2 linked regions of the Pelodiscus sinensis genome follow. The protein of the gene in region 2 interacts with the protein of the main gene of each other region in a pairwise test. Links are inferred from orthologs where the notes say so. Each region holds a gene or a part of one and is shown on either strand. Other genes may lie near its edges.

What was found.
Region 1: the proteins of CEP57L1 (region 2) and KLC3 interact in binary tests that used the Homo sapiens proteins (3 or more experiments, as listed by UniProt). The two-hybrid records come from large-scale screens. The link is inferred for Pelodiscus sinensis from reciprocal best matches to the Homo sapiens genes CEP57L1 and KLC3.

What each region holds. Positions count from the first base shown.
Region 1 is NW_027465849.1:7,074,092-7,081,495, forward strand, and holds the start of KLC3 (kinesin light chain 3), read left to right. Parts: upstream 1-4,373; 5' UTR 4,374-4,482; intron 4,483-5,240; 5' UTR 5,241-5,253; coding exon 5,254-5,511; intron 5,512-6,543; coding exon 6,544-6,771; intron 6,772-6,982; coding exon 6,983-7,058; intron 7,059-7,404. UniProt on the Homo sapiens protein: Kinesin is a microtubule-associated force-producing protein that may play a role in organelle transport. Plays a role during spermiogenesis in the development of the sperm tail midpiece and in the normal function of spermatozoa.
Region 2 is NC_134713.1:77,741,486-77,748,598, forward strand, and holds the start of CEP57L1 (centrosomal protein CEP57L1), read left to right. Parts: upstream 1-4,089; 5' UTR 4,090-4,120; coding exon 4,121-4,303; intron 4,304-7,113. Other genes in the region: SESN1 (sestrin-1), read right to left, coding at 709-993. UniProt on the Homo sapiens protein: Centrosomal protein which may be required for microtubule attachment to centrosomes.

The DNA.
Region 1 (7,404 bases), on a different chromosome or scaffold from region 2:
AGCTTCCCATTAGTTTCTTTTCTTTTCTTTCTTTTTTGTTTTTGCTCAACAAGTTTTGTTGCTATGGGGGGGGGGGGGGAGTTTCTCAACAATCAGAAAGGGGGCGTGATGCCAAAAGTTTTGGGAACCGCTGCTTTAAAAGAGCCCCAAGTAGCTGTCTTGTCACAAACCAGGTCTACAAGCCAGATCCACAGGGCAGCATTAGAATTAGAGTTCATCCGCAAAGTCAGTTCACATGCTAAGGGACTGGATGGTGATGAAAGTTGGTTAGGACACGACCAATTTAGCAGCTCTCGGTGTAGCATCCTTCCTGACATGGGAGTCTATCTATTGACTTTGATTCTTAGCTGCTTCAGTTTAACTAGCTAATCTTCTGATACTTATTCTGACGATTCCCTCTGCTTGCTGTCTCCTACCCCTCCCTTTTTCTTCCCGCCCCTCTCCCCTTCCCCTCTCCTATTTATTTTGGGTGTACACATCCTAAACTCATAACTCCGGTCATCTGAAGAAGTGGATTGTGCCCACGAAAGCTCATGATCCCATCTACATGTTTTGTTAGTCTATAAAGTGCTACCAGACCATTTGTTGTTGGTGGGTTTTTTTGGTTTATACCTGTCGCGCATCATTCCAGGAGGCCTTGAGCTTTTCATTTAAAAAAAAAAGAGACTTGATTTTTCAAATCTGGGTGCATAAGGCAACTAAATCCATATCTGAGTCACTGTACGATTTGCAGGGGTGCTGAGTACCTGTGAGTCATAGCGCCGTTACTGAAATCCCTTTTGGTGCGGGGCAGGGATGTGAACGACTCGCCGCCTAATTGCTCCCTGTCACAGTGGTGCCTAAACTTCTCAGCATCACATCCCCTTTTTGATTTTTGAGAAACCCTCACGGCCCCCCCAAAAAATAGCAGCAAAACTTGTTGAGCAAAAAAAAAAAAAAGTTGCCCTTTTAAGAGCAGAGCAGGCTTTGCCCTTTTAAGGTGACCATTTTGAAGTCTACCTGGGACATTCCATCCTCCCCTGATTTTTTTTACGGGAGGGATCGGGCTCTTTCTTGGGGGGAAATTGATGGGGGAGGGTTCGGTCGCCTTGCACCCCCACCCCTGGAATGTTTTCATGCCCCCCCAGGGGGTGCACCCCCCAGTTTGGGAACCTATGCTCTATCAGAAAGAGGCAGCCAGTGGGGGGAAGAGGTAGGGGTGTGACGTAGTGGGGGTACCTGGCTGGTTTCTATGCTGCTGGCTCTGGGGTAACCCCCACTGGCTGCCGTGGGTACCACGACCCAGCAAAACAGGATGAGTCACTATGCAAACCAGTGGCCAGACACCCCCCATGGAGAGGAACAAAGGAAGGGGGAATGCTGCCCTGGCTGGGGGGCAGGGCTGGAAGTTGGTTAGTGAGTTGGTGGCTGTCTGGGAGCATGGAGGAGACAGCCTAGGGAGAGGAGCTGGAGTTTAGGGGCCCAGTCTCCCCCCAACTCAAGGGAGCCTGAGGCATCCTAGCCCAGCTCTGTGACCAGACTACATCTGTGCTGTGCTGTATCCTGGAGAGGCAATAAACTTCCTCTATTCCACCGGCTGGTGCAGTCTGTTTGTGCCATTTCGGGGTGCAGGAGACGGGGGACCCCAACGCACCGTCACAAGGGGTGCTTCAAAGTGGCAGTGCCGCGTGGAGCCAGGGTCAGCTGGGGTCTCCCCTGCTGACCCTGGGCTCCATGTGGTGCTGCGGCTTTGAAGTGTAGCAACAGCCCTGGGATGTAAATTGCATCGACTATTCGATTAGCCAATTAATCAAAATGTTACATCCCTAGCGCGAGGCTTATTGGCAGAGCAGGAACGCGTTAACCCTTTCAATGCTGCCCTCTCGCACGCGTGCAGCGAAGCCAAATGACACATTGATTCTATATTGATGGCTGTGGGTTTGTGCAAAATAAAGTCCTACTTCCTGATTGGCCCCAGACTCCCCATTTCGCACTAACAATCCGGCCACTGAAATGAGCGGAATGCGCCTCTTTTGACACCGGCATACGCTGGGCGAAAGGTTTAAATCGTGAGCTTTGTGTTTCACCGGGAAAAAAAGTCCCGACAACGCCGATGAGAGTTTGCGAAAAAGATTTGCTCGCAACATGAACATGGCTTCCCCCCTTCAGCTGCCATTGCCATGCAAGGAACATGTGTACAGTTATGAATCCCCAAATCATTCGGTTACGGAACGGAACGGCAGCTTTCCGTCTTTCGGATTCAGCTGTACCACGTCTGGGTCATTAGTCCCCAAAACGAATGATGTTTGAAGGCAAAATCCTACAAGTTGGAAGCGGTTCTTTTACTCCCCTTTGGCGAGCACGTGAATAAAAAATTCTAGGGCGTCTATTTCACTGCTTGAACTTACCTGTCAGCGTAATTGACGCAGAACGGCTTTGCCCGGTCAGGCACGCGCCTCCGTGGCTAGTTTCAAGATTTATCTGGACAACCGTTTCGCTTCTGATCATTGTAGCGGAAACACCCAGTTTAGGAAAGGCATCCAAAAAGGGCACCCCAGCTCCCTCCTGACCTTCTGGCAGGGTTCACTCCCTTCGCCCCCAATGAACAGACACCTGTCGGTCAGGTAGTCGTAGAATCATAGAATAATAGGACTGGAAGGGACCTCGAGAGGTCATCGAGTCCAGCCCCCCGCCCTCAAGGCAGGACCAAGCTCCGTCTACACCATCCCTGACAGATGTCTATCTAACCTGTTCTTAAATATCTCCAGAGAGGGAGATTCCACCACCTCCCTTGGCAATTTATTCCAACATTTGACCACCCTGACAGTTAGGAATTTTTACCCAATGTCCAATCTAAACCTCCCCTGCTGCACTTTAAGCCCATTACTCCTTGTCCTGTCCTCAGAAACCAAGAGGAACAAATTTTCTCCTTCCTCCTTGTGACACCCTTTTAGATATTTGAAAACCGCTATCATGTCCCCCCTTAATCTTCATTTTTCCAAACTAAACAAGCCCAGTTCATGAAGCCTGGCTTCACAGGTCATGTTCTCTAAACCTTTAATCATTCTTGTCGCTCTTCTCTGTACCCTTTCCAATTTCTCCACATCTTTCTTGAAATGTGGCGCCCAGAACTGGACACAGTACTCCAGCTGAGGCCTAACTAGTGCAGAGTGACAGACACATGACAGACACATGACATTTACCAGTGCTACCCTATGGCAATCCAGGAGCCTGCCAGCTCTTTCCCCTGCTTGCTTTCACCTTGGTGTGGGTGGCAAAGGGTTGGCCAGCAGCCGGCAGGGCCTGGGCGTCTGCAGGGAATACAAGAGGCCTGGTACCCACAGAAGGGCTCCAGCCCCCTCATTCCCGTCGGGGAAGCAGAGAAACAGCCCGAGCTCTGCTTTTGGGGTAGTCACAAAGACAATTGCCTTGCAAACCAAAAAGCAGGCCACAGGCCCTGGTGTGCCAGCACCGCCGAGATACCCCTGTAGGTACCCACAGTGCTGCAGTTTGCAGGTGAGATGCCCTACACAGCCCCACACCGGCCCTCGCCACGGCACACGGGAGGCTGAAGCTGTGGGGGAAAGGGGCTGCCGACTCTCCTGCATCGGTCGGACGGAGGTTGGGAATGGCCGGCACGGGACTGGCACTGAGCTGGGGGCTGGTGGTAGCCGGACGGATGCTCCCTTCCCCCATCATCCCCATCCCCTCTCCCCCAATTTCTCCCTCCCACTCCTCCACTTCTCATCTCCAGCAGCAGCCTCTGCCTTTCAGGGGAGTCCCGGAGAAGCCGTCCCATGGCCAGAGGCCCCGGTGAAGGGCATGGTCTGGCCGTGCAAAGGAAGCAGCCCCCCCAGAAGGGGCTTGGCCAGAGAGCTGGAGGAGCATGGGGTGGGGGAGGGTGTCACCGGATTGGGGCTGAGCTAGATGCAGGTGGCCGGGGGCTGGCACCCAGGCGGGCCCAGGCCTGTTCCGTTTGGGCCCCTCTAGGCCTCTCTGCAGTCTGGCAGGACGGAGCTGGCACAAGAACCCGGCTCCCAGCCCCCCCCCCACCATGGGCAGAGGGCACAGCCCTGGGGCTAGTCCCTGCCCCACCCCCGACCCATAGGGCCCTGGCCAGCCTCTGCGCTGTGGCCCCCAGGAGAGGGGGGGCTAGATCGCACGATGGCAGGATGTGGCCGGCCCCAGGGCCATGCCGGGGCCCCACGAGCTCACAGCAGCTCCTCGTGGGCCCCCGACCACCGCAGGGAGAGCAAAGGCTGCTCCGGGGGAAGGGGGGCCTAGTGGTTACGGCCCCGGGCTAACGCTCGGGGGCGGAGGAGGCCGGGCGCTCTGCAGGGGGGGCCGCCACGGTGAGCAGCACAGGCGACCCCACCCCAGCTGGCCCCGCCCGGGGGGGGGCGGAGCCCGGTGCATTGTGGGTGCCGCCCATGGCAGCGGCAGGTGAGCGCGGAGCCAGGGGCGGGCGGGCGCGGCGCAGACGTCGGAGGTTCCGGCCGGCAGGTGGGTCCCGGCGGGGTTGGGGGCTCCCCGGGGCGGGCAGCCCCACGCGCGTCCGTGCGCCCTGCCGGGGCTGGTGCGCGTTTGCGCGCGGGAACCCCGTGTGCGCACCCTGCGTGTGCACGGTTCGTGTGTGCGCACGGGCCGCGCGCGTGCCCTGCTGGTGGGCCATAGGCTGCGTGTTGCACTTTTGTACGTGCGTGTGCACACCTGGGAAGGGGGGTGCCGGGCCTGTCCCGCTGGCGCTCCCCTGCCCGTGCGCACCAGGCTGTGGGTGCCCTGTTTGGGTACGTGCGGGCTGGGAGTGCCCGGTGCCTTGTGCATTTGGGCTTGTGCACGGGTGGGGCGTGTTGCTCCCGCGTGTGCCCCGCCTGGGCAAATTTGGTTCTGTGCCACACCAGGTGCCCTTGCTCCGTGCGAGGCTGGTGTGACTGGTTCTCCGGGAAGGGAGGGAACGCAGCATCCAGCTGGCACCCAGACTGGGGCCCTTCCTCCCCTGTGTGGACTCTGCCTTGGGGCGCCCCGTCCCGCCCGTCTGCGCTACACGTTCCCTGCCAGCCCCACTCAGCCCCGCATCCCACCCTTGGAAGGATCAAAGCTCACGTCCTGTCCCACCCTGAGCGCCCCCTTTCGGGCAGGGCCCCTGCCCACTCCAGGGGCAGAAGGGCGCCGGGCCTGGCTCCAGGGAGCTGGGAGGGAGAGGGGCGCAGGGACCGCCCTGGCGGGGGAACGGCCGTGCTCAGGGTGCCCGCTCCCCGCAGGCTCGGCCGTGCCATGTCCGTGGTGGCGGAGGCCGGCGAGAGCCAGCCGGCGAGGATGACGGCCGATGACATCGTCGCTGGCACGCGCCAGGTGCTGAAGGGGCTGGAGGCGCTGCGGAGCGAGAACCGGGGCATCGCGCGGCGGCTGGAGGCGGCCCTGCTTCAGGGCCCCGGGCCGGAGGGGCCCCAGGTGCTGGAGCTCCTGGAGGAGAAGTACGACCTGGTCCGCAAGTCGCTGGAGGGGATCGAGCTGGGGCTGGGCGAGGCAAAGGTACCGGCGGGGCTGGGCCAGCACCCCAGGGCAGTAGAAAGGCGGCTGGCTCCAGGAGCCGGGGCGGGGAGCCCCTGGTTGTTGCAGCCCCACCTTTCCCAGTAGGGGGCGCTGTGGGGAGCAGGGCAGGGGCACTGGCTGGGGGGAGCTCCTGCAGCCCCAGCCTGTCCCAGTAGGGGGTGCTGGGGGGAGTCCCAGCTGCTTTAGCCCCACTTCCCAGCAGGGGGCGCTGGCTGGGGGAGGGGGAAGAGCTTCTGGCTGCTGCAGCCCCAGCCTCTCCCAGCAGAGGGCACTGTGGGGAGCAGGGCAGGGGCACTGGCTGGGGGGGAGCTCCTGGCTCTCCCAGCAGGGGGCGCTGTGGGGAGCAGGGCAGGGGCACTGGCTTGGGGGGGAGCTCCTGGCTCTCCCAGCAGGGGGCGCTGTGGGGAGCAGGGCAGGGGCACTGGCTGGGGGGGGAGCTCCTGGCTCTCCCAGCAGGGGGCGCTGTGGGGAGCAGGGCAGGGGCACTGGCTGGGGGGGAGCTCCTGGCTCTCCCAGCAGGGGCCGCTGTGGGGAGCAGGGCAGGGGCACTGGCTGGGGGGGAGCTCCTGGCTCTCCCAGCAGGAGGCGCTGTGGGGAGCAGGGCAGGGGCACTGGCTGGGGGGGAGCTCCTGGCTCTCCCAGCAGGGGGCGCTGTGGGGAGCAGGGCAGGGGCACTGGCTGGGGGGGAGCTCCTGGCTCTCCCAGCAGAGGCCGCTGTGGGGAGCAGGGCAGGGGCACTGGCTGGGGGGGAGCTCCTGGCTCTCCCAGCAGGGGGCGCTGTGGGGAGCAGGGCAGGGGCACTGGCTGGGGGGGAGCTCCTGGCTCTCCCAGCAGGGGGCGCTGTGGGGAGCAGGGCAGGGGCACTGGCTGGGGGGAGCTCCTGGCTCTCCCAGCAGGAGGCGCTGTGGGGGCAGCGACTGGGGGTGGGGAGCACCTGGCTACAGCAGCTTCAGGGGGCCGGCCTGGCAGGGGAGGAGGTTTCCCTGCTGAGCCCGGCCCTGCCCTGGCCAGATGCTGGTGGCGCTGGCGTCCCACCTCGGGGCGCTGGAGGCCGAGAAGCAGAAGCTGCGGGCGCAGGCCAAGCAGCTCTGCCAGGAGAACCTGTGGCTGCGGGAGGAGCTGGCGGGGACCCAGCGGCGGCTGCAGCAGAGCGAGGAGATGGTGGCGCAGCTGGAGGAAGAGAAGAAACATCTGGAGTTCATGAACCAGCTGAAGCAGTACGACCCCAAGGAGGAGCAGGTGAGGCCCGGAGTCCCTTAGGCTGGGGGGCAGGAGAGGTGGGGCTGCTCCCCCGCTGGAATGGGGGGAGGACCCTAGGGGGCACTGTGGCCAGGTCCCCCCTTGGCTGACCAAAGCTCTGGGCAGGGAGGGGCCGGGCCTGGGTTTAGGGCTGTGGTGGGGGAGCCCAGCCACGCCCCTGCTTGCCCCAGCCGCTCCCCTGTCCCCGTAGCCGGAGGAGGTGGCCCCGCGGCGGAAGGACAGCCTGGCCTCCCTGTTCGCCAGTGACGAGGAAGAGCAGCGGCAGGGTACGTGCCGGGGGGGCTGGCAAAGGGGCTGTGGGGCTGCCGTGGGGCCGGCTCACTGCCCTCGGCTCTCTGAGCGCCCCCCCCCCCCCCCCAGCCCCTCGGTTCCGCCCTCAGGCGCCCGGCCCTATTGGCGGGATTGTTACCAGCGCCAACCAATTAGCTAGAGCTTTGAACCAGGCTGTGCACCCAGCTCACTTGGCCCGGAGTACCCCCTGCCTGCCCCCCTCCCCACGGCATCTGGCCCGCAGTACCCCCTGCCTGCCCCCCTCCCAGGCATCTGGCCCGCAGTACCCCCTGCTGTCCCCCTCCCTGGCATCTGGCCCGTAGTACCCCCTGCCTGCCCCCC
Region 2 (7,113 bases):
GTGCTACCCCGACAGGGGCCAGACCTGTGAACCCTTGAAATAGCCACAGCAACCCTGTGCTGCTGCCAAGCAATGCAGTATAGGCTGGGCCAGGATCCATGAACCATTTGCTGCATTTTTTCTTCAGGGTCTCTGGCCTCAGACAACACAATCTGTCTTGATTTTATACTAATAAGACTGACTTAGTCACAACCCTAGTAACACCTGACAATTATATTAAAATAACAATTTGGGCATATGCTCTCCTGAATGTACTTGTGCCCCAACAATAAACCCATATTTCATTGTGAAAATTTGCACAGGAATTCACTTGCAAAGGGAGCTGATTATGTCTGAGGACACCACTTACTTCTTTATAAGCAGATTACTTCCTTATCGATGTTATGCACTCCTCTGACAGATAAACTTTGCCAGTATTTTGGTTAGTTATGTCTCAGGACAAATTATATAAAGTTCTTCAGAAACTAGCTCTACTGCCAGTTTAATATTAACGTGATCAGTCTGAACTGAACACCACAATACAGTCTAGACTCTAGAGAGTACAGTTCAAAAACGAAAGCTTTCCTGTGATACAGCTGAAGAGGCACTATATCTTTATACTGTTTTCTACATCAAGATAACGCCTATTAAAAATATGAGGTACTCTAAGCTGCTTCAGAGATAAGAAATAGGAGGGCTGTTTGTTGGAAGAGGCACCGGGACTCTTACCTGAACACTGCTTAGAATAGACTCACTCTTCTCCCTGACGTTTCTAAAGGGGCATCTCTGGGAAAGCATGAGGAGGCGAGCCAGCATCTCATTCAATCTGTCCGGAACTGTAGCAGAAGCCAAGCATCCTTCCGATGGCCCAGGAGGAAGATCCTCTTTTACAGGTGAGACCTGGGCTGTTCTCCTCAAAACAGCCTGCCGGATGTTTTCCAAGGCAGCATCTCTGGTGCTGGCATCCCTGCTGCACAACCCATCCCACCTCACCTCGCCCTCTCTCTCCTCCATCCTCCCTCGGCTCCAGGGCGCCCCAACCTTCACCAACTTTGCCTCGTGGTGCAGGAGCAGCAACAGCGGTTGGAGATGAACAATAAAGCCCGGGCCCAGCCCATGGAGGGCACCCCCAGCCCGCGGGCGTCCCCCGCGGGTGTCGAAGTTCTCGCCGTTAGAGCCGCCACGCGCCTCGCCTCTCCGGACAGACGCGGTTCTGGGCACGGGGGGCCCGGCCTCCCCACACCATGACAGCGCGGGCCGGCAGCCGGCAGGCGAGGGGGGTATGAAGCTTTGTTCGGGCTGGAGCCTGGTCGGCCCCTCTTCCCGCGGGGTCCGGCGGCGGCAGCGACGGGGAGGGAAGCGGGGCAGGGCGGCGTGTTTGCAATCGCCGCACAGCCGGGGAGATTCCCACGTCCCGGCGCAGGCGGCTCGGCTTCGGGGTGCGGGCGGCTCCCGGCTCCCGCTTCCAGGGCAAGGCGCGGGCAGCGCGACAGTCGCGTCCCGGGGACTGCAGGGCGCTCGGGCAGGGGTAGCTCGGCGCCGGATAGACCCAGCGCAGGAGCCAGAGCGAGCTACACAGGCCCCGCCCCCTTGTGCCCGGGGCTCCGCCCGCCTTCTCCTCCTCCCCGCCATCCTTCAACGACCACGCCCACCCCTCGCCTAACTGTAAAATCCCAACCCCTCCTGTGCCCGCTTGTTGACAGACAAGCCTCCTTAGCCAATCGCGTTTCAGAGACATAACTTGAAACCAATGACAATGACAAAGAGGCGGGGAATCGGGCTGGGCGGCCACTCTCTGCTGCGAGGTTCACTGGGATTTGTAGTCTGATTAAGCCTACAACTCCCAGCAGGCAATGCGCACAGATCTGCCCGTGGGCTGGAGTTGGACTGGGTCATAATTGCCTTGGTGTTGGGCCAGAGAAATTACGAGTAACGTAAACCTAGTTTCAGTGCTTCTCCCTTCTCTATCCCCAGGGTTATAGCAAGGGTTGGGCGGAGAGAGGGCAAGGATGAGGAATCAGGATGCCTGAGTTTTATTTCTGGCTCAGCCACTGACCTACTTTGTGGCTTTGGACAAATCACTTTACCTTTCCATGCATGTGTATTCCTGTGCTTCCAACTCCTCTGTGTCTGACTGGTTTCTAAACAATTCAGGATAGAGTATGCTTCCTACTATGTATTTATATAATAGAGTTGTCAACTCCTTTATCTTGCTTGGGTGCTAGCTCTGGGCTGGGGCAAGGGGTAGGAATTCAGGCTATGGGAGGGAGTTTGGTGCAGTAGGGGATGTGGGTGCAGGCAGGGATAAGAGGTGCAACCTCCAGGAAGAAGTATGGATGTTGTGTGCAGACTCTGGCCAAGGAAGGGGAAGGTGTGTTGCTCCATGATCTGTGCGCTGCTACATCTCTCTCCTCCTCCCTCCCCCCCACCCAGGGGCCACACAGGGCCACACAGCGGCACATATAGGGCAGAGCGAGCGGGGCGGCTGCCCCAGGCCCCGTGCTTTAATAGGCCCCGCGCTGGCGCCGGTGTTTTTAACCTCTCATCCTCCCTGCTTAGAGCAGGATCGGCAGCCTGGGGCCCGCGAGGGAGCCCAACGTGGCGCTTTGGAAGCTCAAGCCCTGCCCCCACTGCAACAGGCAGCCCGCGCAAGCCCCATGCTGGTCGGGTCTGGCCGCAAGGCAGCAACAGCCCCACCCCCACGCAAAACAGAACAGAACAGCGCGGCGGGGCCCTTTGTGGTGCAGGAGCTGTGAACCAGCAGGGGAGGGTCGCTCAGGGCTGCTTCCACCCCCCCGCACAAGCCCATTGGCTGGACCTGGACAATGGCAGCTGCGGGAACCCACCAATCACTGCTCCCCTCAGGCTTTTAATCCCTGAGCACATGGCCAGGTAGCTCCTGTGGGAGAAATGGGCGAGCAGCACTTTTAGGTAGGTGTCTGGCCCCCCCAGCCACTCCCACGTCTTCACCCACATAACCCTCCTCCCAGACCCTGCACCCCAATCCCCTGCCTTGGGGCACAGTCCAAACCCCTGGCCAGATCCGCTCCAGGCCTGCTGGTCCCCAGCCCGTTTGTGTGATCCCCAGCTGATTTTTCTGTAGAGTCAGTGTCCCCTAACCCAAGAGAGGTTTCCCACTCCTGCCACAAATACAGAGGCCCCTGCTTTATAACAGCCCGCTTTACGATCCTCCCCCTGCCACCACCATTATGACCTTTTTCCGAAGTGGGGAAGAGGCCAAAATCCCCCAACTTATGTCCTTGGCCTATTGTAAATGCAGGCGCGAGTTATGACTAGGGTTGCCCGGTGTCTGGTATTGGCCCTGACAGTCCAGTATTTGTGGCTTCTATCAGGTGGTAAACCCCCAGAAAATACCGGACCAGTAAAATGTCCGGTATTTTCAGTTTTTCTCAACTGGAAAGCCAGTTGGGACATTCTTGCTCTGCCATGAATGGGGTGGAGAGTGTGAGATTTAAAGGTGCCATGATTTTTTTTTTGTGGCGGGGGGTGACTTTTTTTGCTCAACATTTGGACATCCCCCTCTTTTTTTATTAATGCAGAATTTTGTTTAAAAATGAATTACAATATAATTAGAATAAAAATTATCCAACTAAATTAATTTTCTATCAAATTTACCCAATTCACATTTAATATGAAAATAGCCTTCAATTTGTGCATTTGACGCCTTTTTTCCATTTTTTTCTCCAAAGGGGGGCCTGGAGAAATTGTGCTGCCCTGGGCCCCGCAAAACTCTCATCCACCCCTGGGGCCACACACACATGCCGGCAACTGTATAGAATGAGCACTAGCCCCACTACACTGACAGTGTTAATGGCAGGAGCTCCTGGGCAGTTTTAAATTGTCTGGGGGTGGCAAATGGGCCAGGAGGATGTGAGAGAGGTTGCAGGCAGGGCCTTGCGAAAAATTCAGCTCTGAATTTAGTGGAGCCTGACCCGTGACCAGGAATCTTTCTGGTGTCTGGGCAGCACGGATCCATATAACTCATGCCTATGTCTGCGGTTCTCAGAATATGGGTTGGGACCCCCCAAGTGAATCATGACCCCCTTTTAACGGGGTCACCAGGACAGATGTTATACACTTGAACCTCTGTATTCTGGGTGTCCGTCATCCAGGAACATCTATGGTACAGAGGAGAAACTGGCTCTGTGAACTGCCACATCGTCTCCCACCCGTTGAGGGAACAGCAGCATGCTGGGCCACTTACCCTGATGCTTCTGCCCTCTGTTCCCATAATGGCAAGGGGTGGTGCCTAAAAGCGGTGAGGAGTATGGAGCTTCATGTGCCCCTGGGAGTAGGGCAGCAGGTAAGCACCCTATTCTCATCCCCTCACGTCCAGATCCCGCAGTGTCCTCTCTGGCCCAGCAAAATCTTTAATCCAGCATACCCTATTTCCCAGAGTTGCCAGATTAAAGAGGTTCGAGTACTTGCTGGGCCTTGGACCCAAACCCAAGTCCCACTGCCTGGGGCCAAAGTTTGAGTGTTTCAGCCTTGGGTAGTAGGACTCAGGTTACAGGCTCCCTCCACCCCTTGGGGCTGAAACTCTTGGGTTTTGCCCCACCTGCCCAGGGCAGTATGACTCAGGTGGGCTCAGGCTTTGGTCCCCTTTTCTGGGGACATGTAGTAATAAATCAGGATTTAAAAAACAAATGATTTGGAGGTTCTGACTCATGAGTATGAATATTTAGGATTGGAAATATTATTACAGTTGTAAAATGGGATATACCTTGTTATGGGTGGAGTCAGAGGTGAAAGTAAGGGGGGTGCACGCTAGTGCACAGCTCCAGCAAGAACTGGCTAAGCTGTGGCAAAAGCCAGCAGAGAGCTATTTAAAGAGCTGGCAGGGAACCGGCATGCTATAGGACAGTACCTGTAAGAAATGTAAGTTCCTTTAATACCTGGGTGGAGTTAAAACCTTGTTGAATTTGGTATGTGAACATGTCCTTCGCTTAAGATTGCTACAAGGCAAAATTAAAGAGGCCTACATAAAATGCAAAATGGAATTTTCTGAGAAAATATGGCCATATGGGCAGGTGGTTCTACTATGTACTGTTTTTCTGACCAAGTAGCTGGGAAGGCAAAAAATGAACTGGCAGAGATTCAGAGGCAGCAAGAAAACCAACCAGCCACATGAAAATACAACCCTAGGAGAAGGAAAGGTTCTTGGTTGGTGGTGCTCGCAGAAAAATGCTTGAGCTGTAAACAGGCTTGAATGTTTGTTTCTCTCTGAAACTCAAACTGGTCGTGCATGTTTTGTTTCTCTTCTTCTGAGAAGTCCAGTGTACAAAAAGAGAACGTGGTCCCTGTTTTCCAAAGATTGCTTAATCTTCAGCGGTGAGAGAATCGTGGGAGAAAAATTGATGAGGAGTCTTTAAAATTATCTTTATTTGTGTTTCTATTCTATTCCATTTTATGGTCTCTTAGTTGCATGATAAAAATTTTTTTGTTGGATAGCTTAACAGACATCCAGGAAAGCACATATTACTTTCCCCAAAAAGTTTCTCATAGTATGTTTTAGAAACAAATTCTAAAGAAATGGCAAGGCTGTTTCACCTGCCTATGGCAGCAAGTTGCAATAGCTAAACTTCTCGTCCGACAGTCTCATTAAATATTAGATACTTAGAAGGCAAAAACTAATCTGTTTGAAAGTGTTTAATGTGAATGACAGAAGAGGAGGGCTGCACTGAGCAGGGATATGAAAGTTTTGCTGTTTAAGGTTAACTGGTGGAGGCTGGAGGAGCTCCCCACCTGTTTCAGCCCTGCAGGTGGGCCTGCCCCAGGCAGGGGTGGCCAGAAAATTCCTGCCTGCAGGATGCCCTGCAGTACAGGCAAGGGACTGCTCCAGCCCAGCGGTAGGTGGGGGACCACTCCAGCCAGTACGACCCTGGAGTGACCCCCTCCCACAGTCTCCTTTTATCCATTAATTGGTTAAACAACATGTTTAATCAGTTAATCAATTAAATGGAATTTTGTATCCCTAGCATTGAGGCATAACCAAATACCTGCAGATCCACCCGGCGGTGCTGTAATTGACTAACAACTTCTTGAAACAGCTGCCTGCCTCTCGCCCCCTCGCTGCTGCCGCCGCTGTTTACAGGCTTTACCTCCCTGCAAAACAGCGGAGGGTTTGCCCCTTGCCACGCCGTTCCCCACCGAGCCTCCGCCCTCCCTCCGCCCCCACCGGAGGCAGTTGAGGAAAGATAAATTGTGAGCCTGTCACCTGCGGATCCATCCGGAGGTACTGTAATTGACTAACAACTTCTTGAAACAGCTGTCGGAGCACTTCCGGGTTCCAGTTGGTGCCGGACCACTGGATGCCGGACAATTGGAATTTCACTGTATATCTAGAACAGATCTGACAAGAGTTTGTCAAGTCTGTTCATAACAACCCCTAAGGATGGTGATTTCACAATCTTTCTTAGAAGCCTGTTCCAGAGTTAAAGTATCCTTATATCAGAGGGGTAGCCATGTTAGTCTGAATCTGCAAAAGCGGCGAGGAGTCCTGTGGCACCTTATAGACTAACTGAATTCTCTCTTATAGACTAACTGAAATTAGTCTATAAGGTGCCACAGGACTCCTCGCCGCTTTTGCAGTATCCTTATAGTTATAAAGATTTCCTAATAGCTAACCTAAATCTCCCTTGCAGGGGACAGCGTCCCTTGCTTCTTGTTCTACCCTCAGGGGACATAGACAACAATTAGTAGATCATTCTTCTCTTTATAAAAGTCCTTACTGTAATAAAGGCAAATAACAGGTTTCCCCTTGGACATCTTTTTTCAGGATTAAATATGCCTCATTTCTTAAATCTTCCCTCATAGTTCAGGTATTTAAATCTTTTAGCATTTGTGTTGCTCTTCAATCTACCAACGTCCTTCCTCAGGGGCCCCAACAGACTTGTCAAGCCTATGGACCAGGTGTGGGAGTGGAACTCTGTGCTCGTGGAAGAGGTGGGGCTGGGGCAGGGGCTAGCCTTCTTTTCGCCAGCCCTTCAACCCCACTCAGGGTACGTCTAGACTACATGGCTCTGTCGACGGAGTCATGTAGATTAGTGTACTCGAAAAAGGGAAATGAAGCGGCGATTTAAATAATGGCCGCTTCATTTACATAAAAATGGC